Callithrix jacchus: one gene and its partner. The protein of the gene in region 2 binds, or shares a complex with, the protein of the main gene of each other region. Links are inferred from orthologs where the notes say so. Each region holds a gene or a part of one and is shown on either strand. Other genes may lie near its edges.

Region 1 (7,911 bases), on a different chromosome or scaffold from region 2:
ATACGCAAGTCTATAAACATAATTCACCACATAAACAGAACCAAAAACAAAAACCACATGATTATCTCAATTGATGCAGAGAAGGCATTTGACAAAATTCAACAGCCTTTTATGCTAAAAACCCTCAATAAACTCGGTATCGATGGAACATATCTCAAAGTAATAAAAGCTATTTACGACAAACCAACAGCCAATATCATACTGAATGGGCAAAAACTGGAAGCATTCCCTTTGAAATCCGGCACTAGACAAGGATGCCCTCTCTCACCACTCCTACTCAATATAGTACTGGAAGTTCTAGCCAGAGCAATCAGGCAAGAAAAAGAAATAAAGGGTATTCAAATAGGAAAAGTGGAAGCCAAATTGTCACTCTTCGCAGACGACATGATAGTATGCCTAGAAGACCCCATCGCCTCAGCCCAAAAACTCCTGAAACTAATAAGCAACTTCAGCAAAGTCTCAGGATATAAAATCAATGTGCAAAAATCACAAGCATTCCTCTACACCAATAACAGACTTAAAGAGAGCCAAATCAAGAACGAACTGCCATTCACAATTGCTACAAAAAGAATAAAATACCTAGGAATACAACTCACAAGGAACGTAAGGGACCTCTTCAAGGAAAACTACAAACCACTGCTCAACGAAATCAGAGAGGACACAAACAAATGGAGAAACATTTCATGTTCATGGTTAGGAAGAATTAATATCGTGAAAATGGCTATACTGCCCAAAGTAATTTACAGAATCAACGCTATCCTCATCAAGCTACCATTGACTTTCTTCACAGAACTGGAAAAAACCACCATGAACTTCATATGGAACCAAAAGAGAGCCCGCATAGCCAAGTCAATTCTAAGCAAAAAGAACACAGCGGGGGGCATCACACTACCGGATTTCAAACTATACTACAAGGCTACAGTAATCAAAACAGCATGGTACTGGTACCAAAACAGAGATATAGAGCAATGGAACAAAACAGAGGTATCGGAGGCAACACAACATATCTACAACCATACAATCTTTGATAAACCTGACAAAAAACAAGCATTGGGGAAAGGATTCCCTATTTAATAAGTGGTGTTGGGAGAACTGGCTAGCCATGTGCAGAAAGCAGAAACTGGACCCCTTCCTGACACCTTACACCAAAATTAACTCCAGATGGATTAAAGACTTAAACATAAGACCTGGCACCATAAAAACCCTAGAAGGAAATCTAGGCAAAACCATCCAGGACATAGGAGTAGGCAAGGACTTCATGAACAAAACACCAAAAGCATTGGCAACAAAAGCCAAAATAGACAAATGGGACCTAATCAAACTCCACAGCTTCTCCACAGCAAAAGAAACAGTCACTAGAGTGAATTGGCAACCAAGAGAATGGGAAAAAATTTTTGCAGTCTACCCATCTGACAAAGGGCTGATATCCAGAATTTACAAAGAACTCAAACAGATTTACGGGAAAAAAACAAACAAGCCCATTCAAAAATGGGCAAAGGATATGAACAGACACTTTACAAAAGAAGACATATATGAAGCCAACAATCATATGAAAAAATGCTCATGGTCACTGGTCATCAGAGAGATGCAAATCAAAACCACATTGAGATACCATCTCACGCCAGTTAGAATGGCGATCATTAAAACATTTGGAGACAACAGATGCTGGAGAGGATGTGGAGAAACAGGAACACTTTTACACCTTTGGTGGGAGTGTAAATTAGTTCAACCATTGTGGAAGACAGTGTGGTGATTCCTCAAGGCTTTAGAAATAAAAATTCCAATTGACCCAGCAATCCCATTACTGGGTATATATCCAAAGGACTATAAATCGTTCTACTATAAGGACACATGCACACGAATGTTCATTGCAGCACTGTTTACAATAGCAAAGACCTGGAATCAACCCAAATGCCCATTGATAATAGACTGGATTGGAAAAATGTGGCACATATACACTATGGAATATTATGCAGCAATCAGAAATGATGAGTTTGTGTCGTTTGTAGGGACATGGATGAATCTGGAGAACATCATTCTCAGCAAACTGACACAAGAACAGAAAATGAAATACCGCATATTCTCACTCATAGACGGGTGATGAAAAATGAGAACACATGGACACAGGGAGGGGAGTACTAAACACTGGGGTCTATTGGGGGGAAAAGTGTAGGCCCAGCACGGGGGTGGGGGTGGAAGCTGGGGAGGGATAGCCTGGAGAGAAATGCCAAATGTGGGTGAAGGGGAGAAAGGAAGCAACACACACTGCCATGTGTGTACCTATGCAACTGTCTTTCACGTTCTGCACATGTACCCCAAAACCTAAAATGCAATAAAATATTAAAAAAAAAAAAAAGAAAAGATTGCAAAACCCCACAAGTATCTTTATAATAAAGTTATATAATACTTTGTAAAGTTTCAATTCGGTTTTATGTCCTTCTAATTTCAAAGATTGTGGTTGCATATTATTTATCCAGGTTAAATTCCTGTTGGAATGATACTGACAGTGTTTCACATAGTCCCCTACTACCAACATTCACAAGGAACATCCAGGAGTCAAGGTAAGCTTCATGATGCTAACCCTTAAGAGACCACGACTCTAATGACCACCCCAAAGACAGCATTCTAGCCTAGCTTTGGTCTGCAATTCACTTCAGAGCTTCGGGGCAATGCCACAGCTGCAACTGATTGGTGTACGTGCTTGTCAGTCACATACAGAGGGTGGAGCCTCAAAGCCCGGATATAAACGAGACGCCGTGTCGTACGTCATCACCGAGCGACTAAAGCGGAAAAGGGAGGGGGCGGGGCTGTGAGCAATCCTTGGCGGCCTGAGAAGGTGTCATGGCTGCTGCCACGGAGCTTACTCGCCCGAGTAGCGGTGACAGGAATGTGGAGCGAAGATGCAGCCCCAGCCTCTCCCGAGAGGTGCTCTGCGAAATCTTTCGCTCCCTGCACACCCTGGTTGGACAGGTGAGAAGTGGCCTCAGGGATTGAGGGTATGGAAACCATCCGGCCTCTCCCCCTCATTCTTTTCCTCTAGCGGAGGCCAGAGGCAGCGAGGCCTGCCAAGGTCTGAGGTGCGGCCCCTGAAGCCGAGGTCGGGGAGGAGCCCGGGCCGAGCCGTCTCAGTCGGAGTGAGGAGGATGGCGGTACCGGTTGCCAAGTGGTTTACCTTGCAGCTGTCCTCCCCAGCAGTGGGTGAGGATGGTTTAAGTGAAAACCCGGCCCCGAGAGGAGCAGACTTGGAGAGAATGAATGTGGAAAAGCTTAACTGCGGATTTATGAGGCGCCTCGCGCTCAGGCTCCTTTTTCTTCCAACTTACTCAATTACGGGAATTGGTTGGTCAGTAGGCCTGAGATTTATAGAAAAGCGCGCTTATTAGCTTTTTTCAGGGGCTAGAGGGAGTAATTTGTTCTTATGAGTCACTTGGTTTTGTTTATTTCTTCTTTCCTTCGGGCTGTTTTGTGCATCTATTACCCTTTTAAATGGAGAGGAAAGTAAAAGGAATTCATTTAAAATACTTCTAGCGTAAAGTTGGATGAGTTATCCCTCTTTGATGTTGTTTGCAATAGAACGGGCGTTATTTAACTATTATTAAACGGGCGTAGTTTAACTGGCTGATAAATCGCTTTTGCAGAAATGTGGTAAAATTGGTTTTAAATTTAAATGGACTTCTTATTCTCTGTGATCAAGTCACTGTTTCGTTTCATGGTGTAAAATTCAAAGCAGATTTTAAATGTGAAACAGTTTAAAATTATGCTTCTTCACCTGCTTATTAAAAGGAAATATTTTCTATCTTACATAGACCATTTTCTAGCCGTAAAAGTTTGTTTTGGAGCTGGTACTAGTGCCTGTGGACACAGCAGGCATTTGTGTCAAAGACAATGGTAAATTCCTATAAAAATAGAACATTTGTCTGATTTGTGAAAATTATTTTTTTAAAGCCTTGAGTAGATGGAGAATCAGTCTTTTAAAAAGTTACTAAAGTAGTTTTAAAAATCGTAGTATGTTGTGTCTTACAAAGAACATTACTGTAAGTTTAGCGGTTTTATGTAATGACGCAGTTGTTAATGAAATCTGCTAAAAGATACAACTTTTAAACTCAATTGTTTGCCAAGTACTTACCAAAAACATTTTTTTAAACACTTGGGGTCTTTTGTTATTAACATTGTAGTCTTAAGAACCAAAACCTCTAAATGGTTTAAAAGTTAGAGAACTTTTTATGGCGACGTCGGAACTTGTTTATTTTCTAATGTCAAGATAAAAAAAGTTTATGCTCACCTATTAACAGAAGATGGAATATTTAAAAAAAATATTGAGCAATGATTTAAACTTTTCTTTTGAAATATTTTGCATACTGAATTTTTCAAACTCATTAGAAAATTTTAATGATTCAAGTACGGTAAAGTACAATTAAAGAAATGATTACAGTTTACTTATGTCACTTGTCAAAAATGTTGACAGTAAATATTTGGTGACTTTACTGTGACACAGTGAAGGGACCTCCTACACAAGTGTCAAAAATATGATTGTTTCATCAATTAAATGTAAACCACTTTCAAAATACTCTGTATTTTGAGAAATGTTTTTTAAGAGTGAAAGCCAGAGTTCAATACTTATAAAATTGCCCCCCCGAGAAATCAGTATTTTCTTTTGCGACCAGTTTAAAGGATTTTTAAAATGTATGTTGTAACATACCTAACTTATCCTGTGTCATCCCTAAGTATCATTGTATTATTAGATCTCCTCAGTAGGAAACACAAAACTGAATGTTAAAAATAATTTTTTACTTCAGATCACAAAATTTACTAATTTTAACCTTTTTGCTTGCCTCTGGATGGCCCATCTTACCAAGCTGAACAATTACTTATTTTTAGCTTGGATTTTTGTATTAATTTAGTAAAGTTAATGAAACTACATATTTAAATAGTCTATATTAATAGCAGACTAATAGAGATTTTCAAGTGAATGGTTTACTCTTCCAAGTTCTGTAGGGCAAAATGCATAGGATTCATGTGACTAATAATGAATGTCTTGAATGAATAGTTAGATGAATTAGGATAGTTTTATAATTAATTTGTGACATTATGTGGTTTTCTTAAAAGACCAATTATTCTTAATTGCACTTGAAGGTTTATATAATTCTGCTGAATTGAAATGAGAATATGAACCAAACATTAAGACTTATTTTTCTATACGTTATTTTCTCTAGAAAAATGTGATACTTTGCTTTGGTTGAGGATTTGCCTGCTTTATCCCCAAGCTGTATTCATAAGTTTTCTATAATCGAGTATAGATCTCTTTGAAGACTACAAAAGTATATTAATGGGTTACTTCCATACATAATATGGGTTGTTGTGTAGCAAAATCTTTATAGGCATTAAAGTAATATAAATTAATGCATTAACTTTAAAGTCTTAATATGTTCTAATCTTTGCCAGTGCAGCCTACATGAAATTTCATATATCTTTACACTTGTTTAATATGGACTTTTAAATTCTTCTGTTCTTATCTTAAAAGGGCAGTAAATTTCTGTCACATAGTGTTTATTCAATATATTATCTTTTTATTGGTAACCTTACATCTTTTTGATCTTTGTACAGTGATTCATCTTTATAACTCCTAAAATCTGTATTTGAACTAACGTAACAACTTTATTTTGTAGAAAAGATGATGAATTTTGAATTAATTATGTAACTTGTTTCTTTTATGGAATATATTCTTATGCTATCCTGTAAACATATGTCCCTAGGAAAGTTTATGATAGTTCACTTTTATTCACTCAAAAGACTGCAGATGGGTGCTATCACTGTAAAATTTTCATTCATTTTGATAATAATCTTATATTCAGGTTCTTTGTAATTTTCTGGGTATGATTTTATTCTGTTAGATCACCAACTGATACAAATTTCCATATAATGAGCCCTCACATCTTACCATTTAGCAAAAGATCTGGCCATTTCATCCAGTCTGACAACTTATTTCACTATTGTGGAGAAGTCTTTGTTTTTCAGCTTCAGACTTCCATAGCTAACTAATAGTTTTTTATTTGAAATAAACATGTTGCCATTTATCCCTGCTTTTAGTATGTATGAGTAATCTTGACTTTTAAATTAGTTTAAAATTTGGTTAAAGGTGAAAACAATAACAATGTGATTTGGAGAACATCAGAATAGTGATATATATCTGGTATGTATTTGTGTACGTACTTAAAGAGAAAAATGCATGTTAAAACTTTCACAAAACAGTTGTGCTTCCTCTGTTTACGGCTCTGAGCTAGAAGTAGTAGGATTCTGAATAGGGTAAGCCTATTTTGGACTCCATCCAAAGGTTTGTAGATATTGAAGAATCAAAAGAGCCTTCATCTTTTCATCTTTCATGAATGGTTTCACCTCTAAAATGATCCCGTTACACAGACCCAAGAATAGAATTTGAATGACATGTCATTTTGTTTTTGTTTTTTATGAAAATCTGTAGCTTTCGTGGCCATTTAAAATGGTAACTAGGTAGAGCATTTCAGTGTAAAACTTGATAACTTTGAGCAAAATAGACACGTTACTCTTGAAATCCTTTATTTGTGACAATTCCATATGTACAGTTTAATCTTATAATTTTTGTGATGTTGCTGGTTTGCCTTTTTGAAGCTTAACCTCAGAGATGATGTGGTGAAAATTACAATCGATTGGAACAAGCTCCAAAGCTTTTCGGCATTCCAGCCTGCGTTGCTCTTTAGTGCACTTGAACAACACATTTTAGATTTACAGGTAAATTTCTTGTTAGAAATGATAACCCGATATTGAAAACAGAAATTAATTGTGGTTAAATTAGAGTATTTGTCAGTTCTAAACACTCTATTAATAGTGTTGCTAATAAAAGGTTATTTACATCCAGATTGGATCTAAATCTGTTAATTTCAGTAGTGATCAGGACAGTTAAGGGAATATAGCCCAAAAGACTAATGTGGGTATGAGAGTGAATGAATGCAGTTCTGTTCAATTCTAGACCTGCACTGAAAATTCAATACAGTTCCATCTATGGTGGGTTATAATTAAGCAATAAGACACGGCAGGTGTGTGTCATGCTATGATAATGATTCCATGCCTTGGGTGAGTTTGGAGGCTCATGGAGTGCTTTCAGTGGTTCAAGAAGGGGCATTATCCCAGCATGACACATCCTGGAGTGTCTATTGCAATTAAACAGTTTCAGCATAGTTTTTAAAAAGAAAGTAATTTCTGTGACATTAATGTCTCATCTTAGTAAGTAGCCAGTCACTGTTTTCTTTTTCTTAACAGTTTGAAATAATTTATTCTTTATATTAGAAGCTAATATTGAACTGGTATTTATAATAGCATTGTTATATTTTTAAGTATTTCATGTTATGACCTTGCTAGTTTGTAATTGAACATCTTTCCAATTATAATTGATGTAAGTTTGCAGTTTATCTCTAATTAAAGTGTAAAATGTAAAGTGTCAAAAAGATAAGTGGAAGAACTGTTTGGATTGGTCAGTTTACTGTGATTAAGATGTTATACGGTTTCAGGAGAGTATTTGGTATAGCAAACAAGGGAAGCAAAATTGTGGATATGAAAAAAATAATTGGAACGTTATTAGTGTTAGTGTGTTTTGACTAATGGAATAGGCATTAATTTTCAGCTCTCCATTTATTGACTTTGTGGGAAATTTTAACTGTTTCACGTTAAAAGTAATAGTTAACCCTGTTTTCAAAGGGCAGAGCAGTGAGCTATAGAACTCAAATGAGGCCTAATTGTGTGGAGTGGGGGAGGAGAACAGTAAATGGATAATATCATTTATATTCTACAATAGGGGTTTTTTTCCCCCTGTAGTATAGTGATAGGCCTCTGCCTGTTTTCTGCCATAGATTTTTTTTTCTTGTTAGTTTTGTTTTTTAA
Region 2 (7,237 bases):
CCTTTGCCTCCTGGGTTCAGGCAATTCTCCTGCCTCAGCCTCCTGAGTAGCTGGGATTACAGGCATGCGTCATTATGCCCAGCTAATTATTTGTATTTATAGTAGAGACGAGGTTTCACCTTGTCGACCAGGATGGTCTCAATCTCTTGACATCGTGATCCACCTGCCTCGACCTCCCAAAGTGCTGGGATTACAGGCGTGAGCCACCGCGCCCGGCCTCGCTCAGCATTTTATTTAACATCCTACTGTTGACAGCACTTTGGGAGGCCAAGGCAGGCGGATCACGAGGTCAGCAGTTCGAGACCAGCCTGGCCAATATAGTGAAACCTTATCTCTACTAAAAATACAAAAAATTAGCCGGGCATGCTGACATGCGTCTGTAGTCCTAGCTACTTGGGAGGCTGAGGCAGGAGAACTGCTTGAACCCGAGAGAGAGGTTGTGGTGAGCCGAGATTGCACCACTGCACCTCAGCCTGGGCAACACGGTGAGACCCTGTCTAAAAAACAACAACAACAAAAAACACTCCTGAGTATTTTCTCTAAAGAGTTTACTTTCAGAACTAGATACTTCTAATTTTCATTTTCATTATTTGGATATTGAGGTCTTTTTTAAATAAAAAAAATCAGTTAAATATTCCTGCCTTTTTTTTTTTTTTTCCCTTGAGACAGGGTCTTGTTCTGTCTCCCAGGCTGGAGTGCAGTGGCACGGTCCTGGCTCACTGTAACCTCCGCCTCCCAGATTCAAGTGATTCTCCCACCTCAGCCTCCAGAGTAGCTGGGACGATAGGTCTGTGCCACCGCACCCAGCTAATTTTTGTATTTTTAGTAGAGACGGGATTTTACTATGTTGGTCAGGCTGGTCTCGAACTGCTGACCTCAAGTGATCTGCCTGCCTCAGCCTCCCAAAGTGCTGGGATTACAGACATGAGCCACTGTGCCCGGTCTCAAGTGTGTGTGAAAGAATTGGAAGTAGATACATTGGAAATATTAGGAGATTATTTCTGAATGAGTAGAACTTTTTTCTTTATACTTCTGAGTTTCCCAAATTTTCTATTAAAGTAAGTCATAAAAAGTAGCTGAGGTAAGACAACAGTTGTTAAGCTTCTGTTATTATAATACCCGAGTGTAAGAAATACATTTGCCGTTCACACCCGTCTAGTTAGCTTTCCTAGATGACCGGATTAGGCTGCATGTATTATGTGCAGGCCTTGGCTTTGCTCTTTGCCAAAACAGTGACTGCTGTTCTAAGAACTCTCAAGGCTCCGTTGGACTGTGCTTTGTTTTGGACAGGTTGTTGGAGTACCGGTTGGGTCTGCTTTACCCTCAGCAGTGAAGCAGGCTGTGGCGATCAGCGGTGGCCAGATCCTGGTAGCCAAGGCCAGCTCCTCTGTCTCCAAAGCAGTTGGTCCAAAGCAGGTTGTGACCCAAGGAGTCGCAAAAGCAATTGTGAGTGGAGGTGGAGGAACAATTGTTGCTCAGCCCGTGCAGACCTTAACCAAGGCTCAGGTCACTGCCGCTGGTCCTCAGAAGAGTGGATCCCAGGGTTCAGGTAAAATGGCTCCTCATTGGGAGCTCTTTCAGCAGTAGCTCTGTCCGATGTCCTTTGCTAGTGATTTTATTTGCTATTTGATGTTCCCTAGGAAAGCCTAGTTAGGTCGATGCTATAAGATGTGTATTAAAATGTTTGTTCTTTTTCATGGGACATTTTACATGAAGGTCTGTATTTAGCTTTAAGTTTCTACACATACACACACACACACTCCATTTCTCAGTACTGTGGGGGACTGGTTCCAGGACCCCCTGCTGCTGATAGCAAAGTCCACAGATGCTTGAGTTCCCTCTGTAAAATGCTGTAGTGTACTTCTCATCATCTCTAGGTTATTTTAATATCTAATAACAATGTAAATGCTATGTAAATAGTTATTACATTGTATTGTTTAAGGAATAATGATAAGGAAAAAAATCTGTACCTGTTCAGTACAGATGTACTCATCCTTTTGTCTCCCAAATATATGAATATTTTTGATTTGAGGTAGGTTACATCCATGGATGTGAAATCCACAAATACAGAGGGCTAACTGTACTTGCCAGTTAGGAGCACAAATTTTGCCTAACTTTGACTTAAATGGGGGAAAATATGTATTCCCCCATAAGTAGGGTGATTATTTCATTAATCAAGCCACAGTACTTTTGAGAGTAAAAAGAGTCACTGTTAATATATTACAATGGGACAGGTGTAACCTAGAACAGCCCTAGGCAGAAGCAGGACATATGATCACCCTATTTATATTCAGATATAAAGAGCCTCCAGCAGGCTCTTTCGGCTGTAAATTATTTTCTAATTAGCAAGATATTTAAGAATATCAGCCTTTAAAGCATTGTGCATCTGGAAAACAAACGAGTTTACTGTTTGTTAGTGGTCTAAAATAAGATTCTATTGCCTCATATTTTAATTTTAGAGAGAGTGTTGCCCTTAGTTTCAATATATCTTACCATTTTTTCTCCTTTACCATTTTAGTAATGGCAACGTTGCAGCTGCCAGCCACTAATTTGGCCAACTTGGCAAATTTACCTCCTGGCACTAAACTCTACCTAACTACAAACAGCAAGAACCCTTCAGGAAAAGGAAAGCTGCTGCTGATCCCTCAAGGAGCCATCCTGCGGGCTACGAACCATGCTAGTTAGTGAAACCATTGGGTTGAATCATTTGACTCTTGGTTCTCTGTATGTTCATCCTGTCTACCTGAGGGCAGTTCTTTCTTTTTCAGGAAGCATTTCTGTAACTCTTTTGGATGGTATAATGGTAGCATTTGCCCATATGGATTTAACAGAAGTGATAATTTAACCAGAAGTGGGTTTGCTTCTCGGAGTTTGGGGTTAGGGATGAATCACACTGGAGAGAGATGGCTCATGAGGCTGTTGAGAGAAAGCTGTCTACGCGCACTGTGAATGAAATGGTGTCTGAAAAGTCAATCTGGTGAGAGCTGAGGAAAGATCCATCTACTTACAGAAGCTGGAAGTCTATTTTGGGGGATAAGTTGGCAGAGGATTGGAATCACATGTGTCCATTTGGCTTCACTTAGATCAGGGGTCCCCAACCCCAGGGCTGCACAGCAGGAGGTGAGCTGTGGGTAAGGGAGCATCACTGCCTGAGCTCGGCCTCCCATCAGATCATGGCAGCATTAGATTCTCATAGAGGCGTGAACCCTGTTGTGAGCTGCACGCTCCTTGCTCTTTATGAGAATCTAATGCCTGACGATCTGAGGTGGAACCGTTTCATCCTAAAACCACCCCCCACCTCCTGCCCCAGTTCATGGAAAAATTGTCTTCCATGAAACTGGTCCCTGGTGCCACAAAGCTTGGGGACAGCTGGTTTGGATGTATTCCTTACTTCTAGGTTTGGAGACGGGAAGAGAAACATAGATTCTACCAAGGTGTGTCTGTCTTAAAGCCCCGTGGAAATGAGGAGGCAGTTCATCTACCGTTACAGAAAATTTTGCTTTGACAGAGAGAGAAAAACAATTTGGGCAGTCTTGAAAAGGATAAGATATAAGGAAATTATTTCCTTCTGAATTAGAAGTAGAAGAGTACAGCAGTCAGAGTCATTAGAAGTTAACCACTCTTGCCAAAATGCAGTGTGTCAGCTAATCGTCCTTGCGTTCATTGACTGTGATGGGTTGTTTCCATGCTCACTTTGATTATTTTTTCCTCATACCTACGCAGTGATATGTCCAAAAGTTAAACATATAAGAAAAGGACAATGTAAATATTTCAAAAGTCATCCAGTGAGCTACTTAGATTCTTGTGATATCCTTGGGATGAAAATAAACCATCAGGAAGGAAGCTTTTCCAATAATCACTGGAATGAAGGTGGAGAAGGAAATTGTTAGTATTTGTTGAGTGAATATTCATAGTCCAGGTAGTTTATATGCGTTATCTCACCAAAAGAGAAGTAAAAAGAATTGAAGGCTTTGAGGTGGAATTTGAAAGGCAAAGAAGAATGGGGTCCTGGAGTCATTGTAAATGAAGGAAACTCTTCATGTTTCCCAGGATGGGAGACTGCATCAAGCACTGTAAAGTTACGCTAAATTCCAGCCAGTCACTGACATCGAATGAGGTGCCCAAAAGTTGGGAAGCACCCACCTGAACACATTTAAGAGTTGATTAAAATACGTAGCTAGAAAATGTCAGTAGCAAGCCTTCTCTTGATCTCCCATGACCACGTCAAAATACCTTCATTGTACTCAGAGCCGAAATACAGTCAGCTGCCATTCCATTGAAAGGAAACAGATTTTGATCTAAAATCTAAGAAGTTCTCCTCACTCTTTTCGCAGGATAGGTAGATTACAGAAAAGAAGGAGGAAAATGAGAAAGGAGAAGGAATGACACTAAAAGGGAAACATCTGTCTGGGCTCATTTGTTTTTTCTGTTAAAACTTTACTGGATACTTTTTATGATGTTGCCGTCATTCATTGTATTTTTAGATCTCCAGTCTGGCTCAACTGCCAGTGGGGGGAGTGGTACCGGAGGAGGAGGAGGAAGCGGAGGCGGTGGCAGTGGTGGAGGCAGCAGTGGAGGAGGAGGAGCAGGAGGAGGAGGAGGAGCAGCAGGAGGAGGAACAGCAGGAGGAGGAACTCAGAGCACCACCGGCCCTGGAGGAATAGCTCAGCACCTGACTTACACATCTTACATCCTCAAGCAAACTCCCCAGGTCTGGTTATCTGTAACTGATATTTTAAATCATTTAGCTCTTTGATAATGACACTTAATTATAATTGATTTACCTTTACAGCTCTGGGATCAGGGTTCAATACTAACAATTTAGCCGTGTTATCTATATTTATGTCTTGGCCAGGTGCGGTAGCTCGTTCCTGTAATCCTAGCACTTTGAGAGGCTGAGGTGGGTGGATCGATTGAGCCCAGGAGTTTGAGACCAGCCTGGGCAACATGGCGAAACCCCATCTCTACTAAAAATACCAGAATTAGCTGGGGTGTAGTGGTGTGGGTCTGTAGTTTCAGCTACTCAGAAGGCTGACATGGGAGGATTGCTTGAACCCAGGAAGTGGACGCTGCAGTGAGCCGAGATTGCGCCACTGCACTTCAGCCTAGGTGACAGAATAAGAATCTAAAAAAAAATTAAAAATCTATTTCTTTTTTTGCTTGCTTTGAGAGAAGAGGAAATAGAGGTTGAGAAAGATTTTAGTAACGTATCCAGCATCTTCCTGCTAAGCTAATGGTAGAATTTGGGTTTAAGCCAGGTGTGGTGGCTCACTCCTGCATTCCCAGCACTTTGGGAGGCCAACGTGGGCGGATCACCTGAGGTTAGGAGTTCAAGACCAGCCTGGCCAACATGGTGAAATCCTGTCGACTAAAAATACACAAATCAGCTGGGCATGGTGCTGTGCACCTGTAATCCGAGCTACTCGGGAGGCTGAGGCAGAACAATCACTTGAACCTGGGAGGTGGAGGTTGCAGTGAGCTGAGATCAATCCATGGCACTCTAGCCTGGGCAACAGAGTGAGACACTGTCTCAAAAAAAAAGAAAGAATTTGGGTTTAAACCCTGATCTTTCTGCCTTAAAGAAAGATTTCTACTATGCTAATTGCCTCCCATATCCATGAGGTAATAAACAGTATTCATTTACAGTTGAAAAGTTGCTCATAGAAGGGAGTGATAAGGAGGCAGCATCAAGTTGTAATATTTAGAGTTAGGTTAGATTTGATGAGGAACGAGTTTCCTCCTTCTCTCCTCTTGTCGCTGAAGTCTTGGCTCTTTTCTAAGGAAAGTAATAGAATTTTGGTTCCGGATGTTCTTATTGAGAAAGGTAGATAGTTATCAGTCTGGATGATTAAATCCAGCTTTGAGGACTAAATCGCAAAACTAGAGTTTCCAGCAGGCTGCTCTGTAACTGTGGTGCAGAGTTTGAGAAGTGGGGAGAACTATTAGAAGAGACACTTAGAGCACAACTATTCTTTTGGATTATTTTGCCTACATTGCAGAATTAAAGGGGAGAGCGTTGTAGCTTGTAGCATGGAATGTTACGTGTGATTTAAGGGATCAGAACAGTGCATTTGAATTTAAGAAATTACTGCTTAGTTCTTTATATTTTCTTTCTAACTTAGGGCACATTTTTAGTTGGCCAGCCATCACCCCAGACTTCTGGAAAACAACTCACCACTGGGTCAGTGGTCCAAGGCACACTAGGAGTTAGCACATCTTCTGCACAAGGACAACAGACGCTGAAAGTCATCTCTGGACAGAAAACCACGTTGTTTACACAGGTAAATACACCCATGCACACACCCCAAATACCTGGTGATTGTGACATTTATTTATGTATTTACATGTAGTTTCTCTCTTTTCACAAGGAAATTAAGGTTGCATAAGGAAATGAACAATAAGGCTGGGCATGGTGGCTCATGCCTGTAATCCCAGCACTTTGGGAGGCTGAGGCGGGCGGATTGCCTGAGGTCAGGAGTTCGAGACCAGCCTGGCTAATGCAGTGAAACCCTGTCTCTACTAAAAATACAAAAAAATTAGCTGGGTGTGGTGGTGCATGCCTGTAGTCCCAGCTACTTGGGATGCTAAGGCAGGAGAATTGCTTCAACCCGGGAGATAGAGGTTGCAGTGAGCAAAGATCATGCCACTACAGCAGTGGCTCATTGAGGCCTGTAATCCCAGCACTTTGGGAGGCTGAGGCGGGCGGATCACCTGAGGTTGGGAGTTCAAGACCAGTCTGACCAACATGAAGAAATTCCATCTCTACTAAAAATGCAAAATTAGCCGGGTGTGGCGGCACGCGCCTGTAATCTCAGCTACTTTTGAGGCTGAGGCAGGAGCATTACTTGAGCCTGGGAGATGGAAATTGCGGTGAGCCGAGATTGTCATTGCACTCCAGCCAGGGCAACAAGAGCAAAACTCCATCTTAAAAAAAAAAAAAAAAAGAACAAAACACCAAATTATATAGAAAAACAAAGATCTTGAGGTTTGGGAAAATATAAGTAGAATGAGAAAATTAAGGCCACGGGGGTTATGCTGATAGGCAAACAGTGAAGATATCTTTCATAGTTAATAAAATCTAGGTATAAATTTGATAATGAAGGCAAAATAAGAAGCATGGTCAGTTTTAAAGTCACAGTATTTGTGAGAGTGAAACATGTATTTCTTTAAAAGAAATGAAGCTTTCTTGACGCTTTGTTGTAAAAATTTCTCCAGAGGGACTTCACATAGAAGATCC

Evidence for each region.
Region 1: YEATS2 (region 2) and MBIP share a complex: the UniProt entries of both Homo sapiens proteins name them as parts of the ADA2A-containing complex. The link is inferred for Callithrix jacchus from reciprocal best matches to the Homo sapiens genes YEATS2 and MBIP.

Annotation. Positions count from the first base shown.
Region 1 is NC_133509.1:70,908,092-70,916,002, reverse strand, and holds the start of MBIP (MAP3K12-binding inhibitory protein 1), read left to right. Parts: upstream 1-2,822; 5' UTR 2,823-2,841; coding exon 2,842-2,970; intron 2,971-6,645; coding exon 6,646-6,765; intron 6,766-7,911. UniProt on the Homo sapiens protein: Inhibits the MAP3K12 activity to induce the activation of the JNK/SAPK pathway. Component of the ATAC complex, a complex with histone acetyltransferase activity on histones H3 and H4.
Region 2 is NC_133516.1:12,788,166-12,795,402, forward strand, and holds part of YEATS2 (YEATS domain-containing protein 2), read left to right. Parts: intron 1-1,290; coding exon 1,291-1,549; intron 1,550-2,518; coding exon 2,519-2,680; intron 2,681-4,484; coding exon 4,485-4,711; intron 4,712-6,122; coding exon 6,123-6,281; intron 6,282-7,237. UniProt on the Homo sapiens protein: Chromatin reader component of the ATAC complex, a complex with histone acetyltransferase activity on histones H3 and H4. YEATS2 specifically recognizes and binds histone H3 crotonylated at 'Lys-27' (H3K27cr).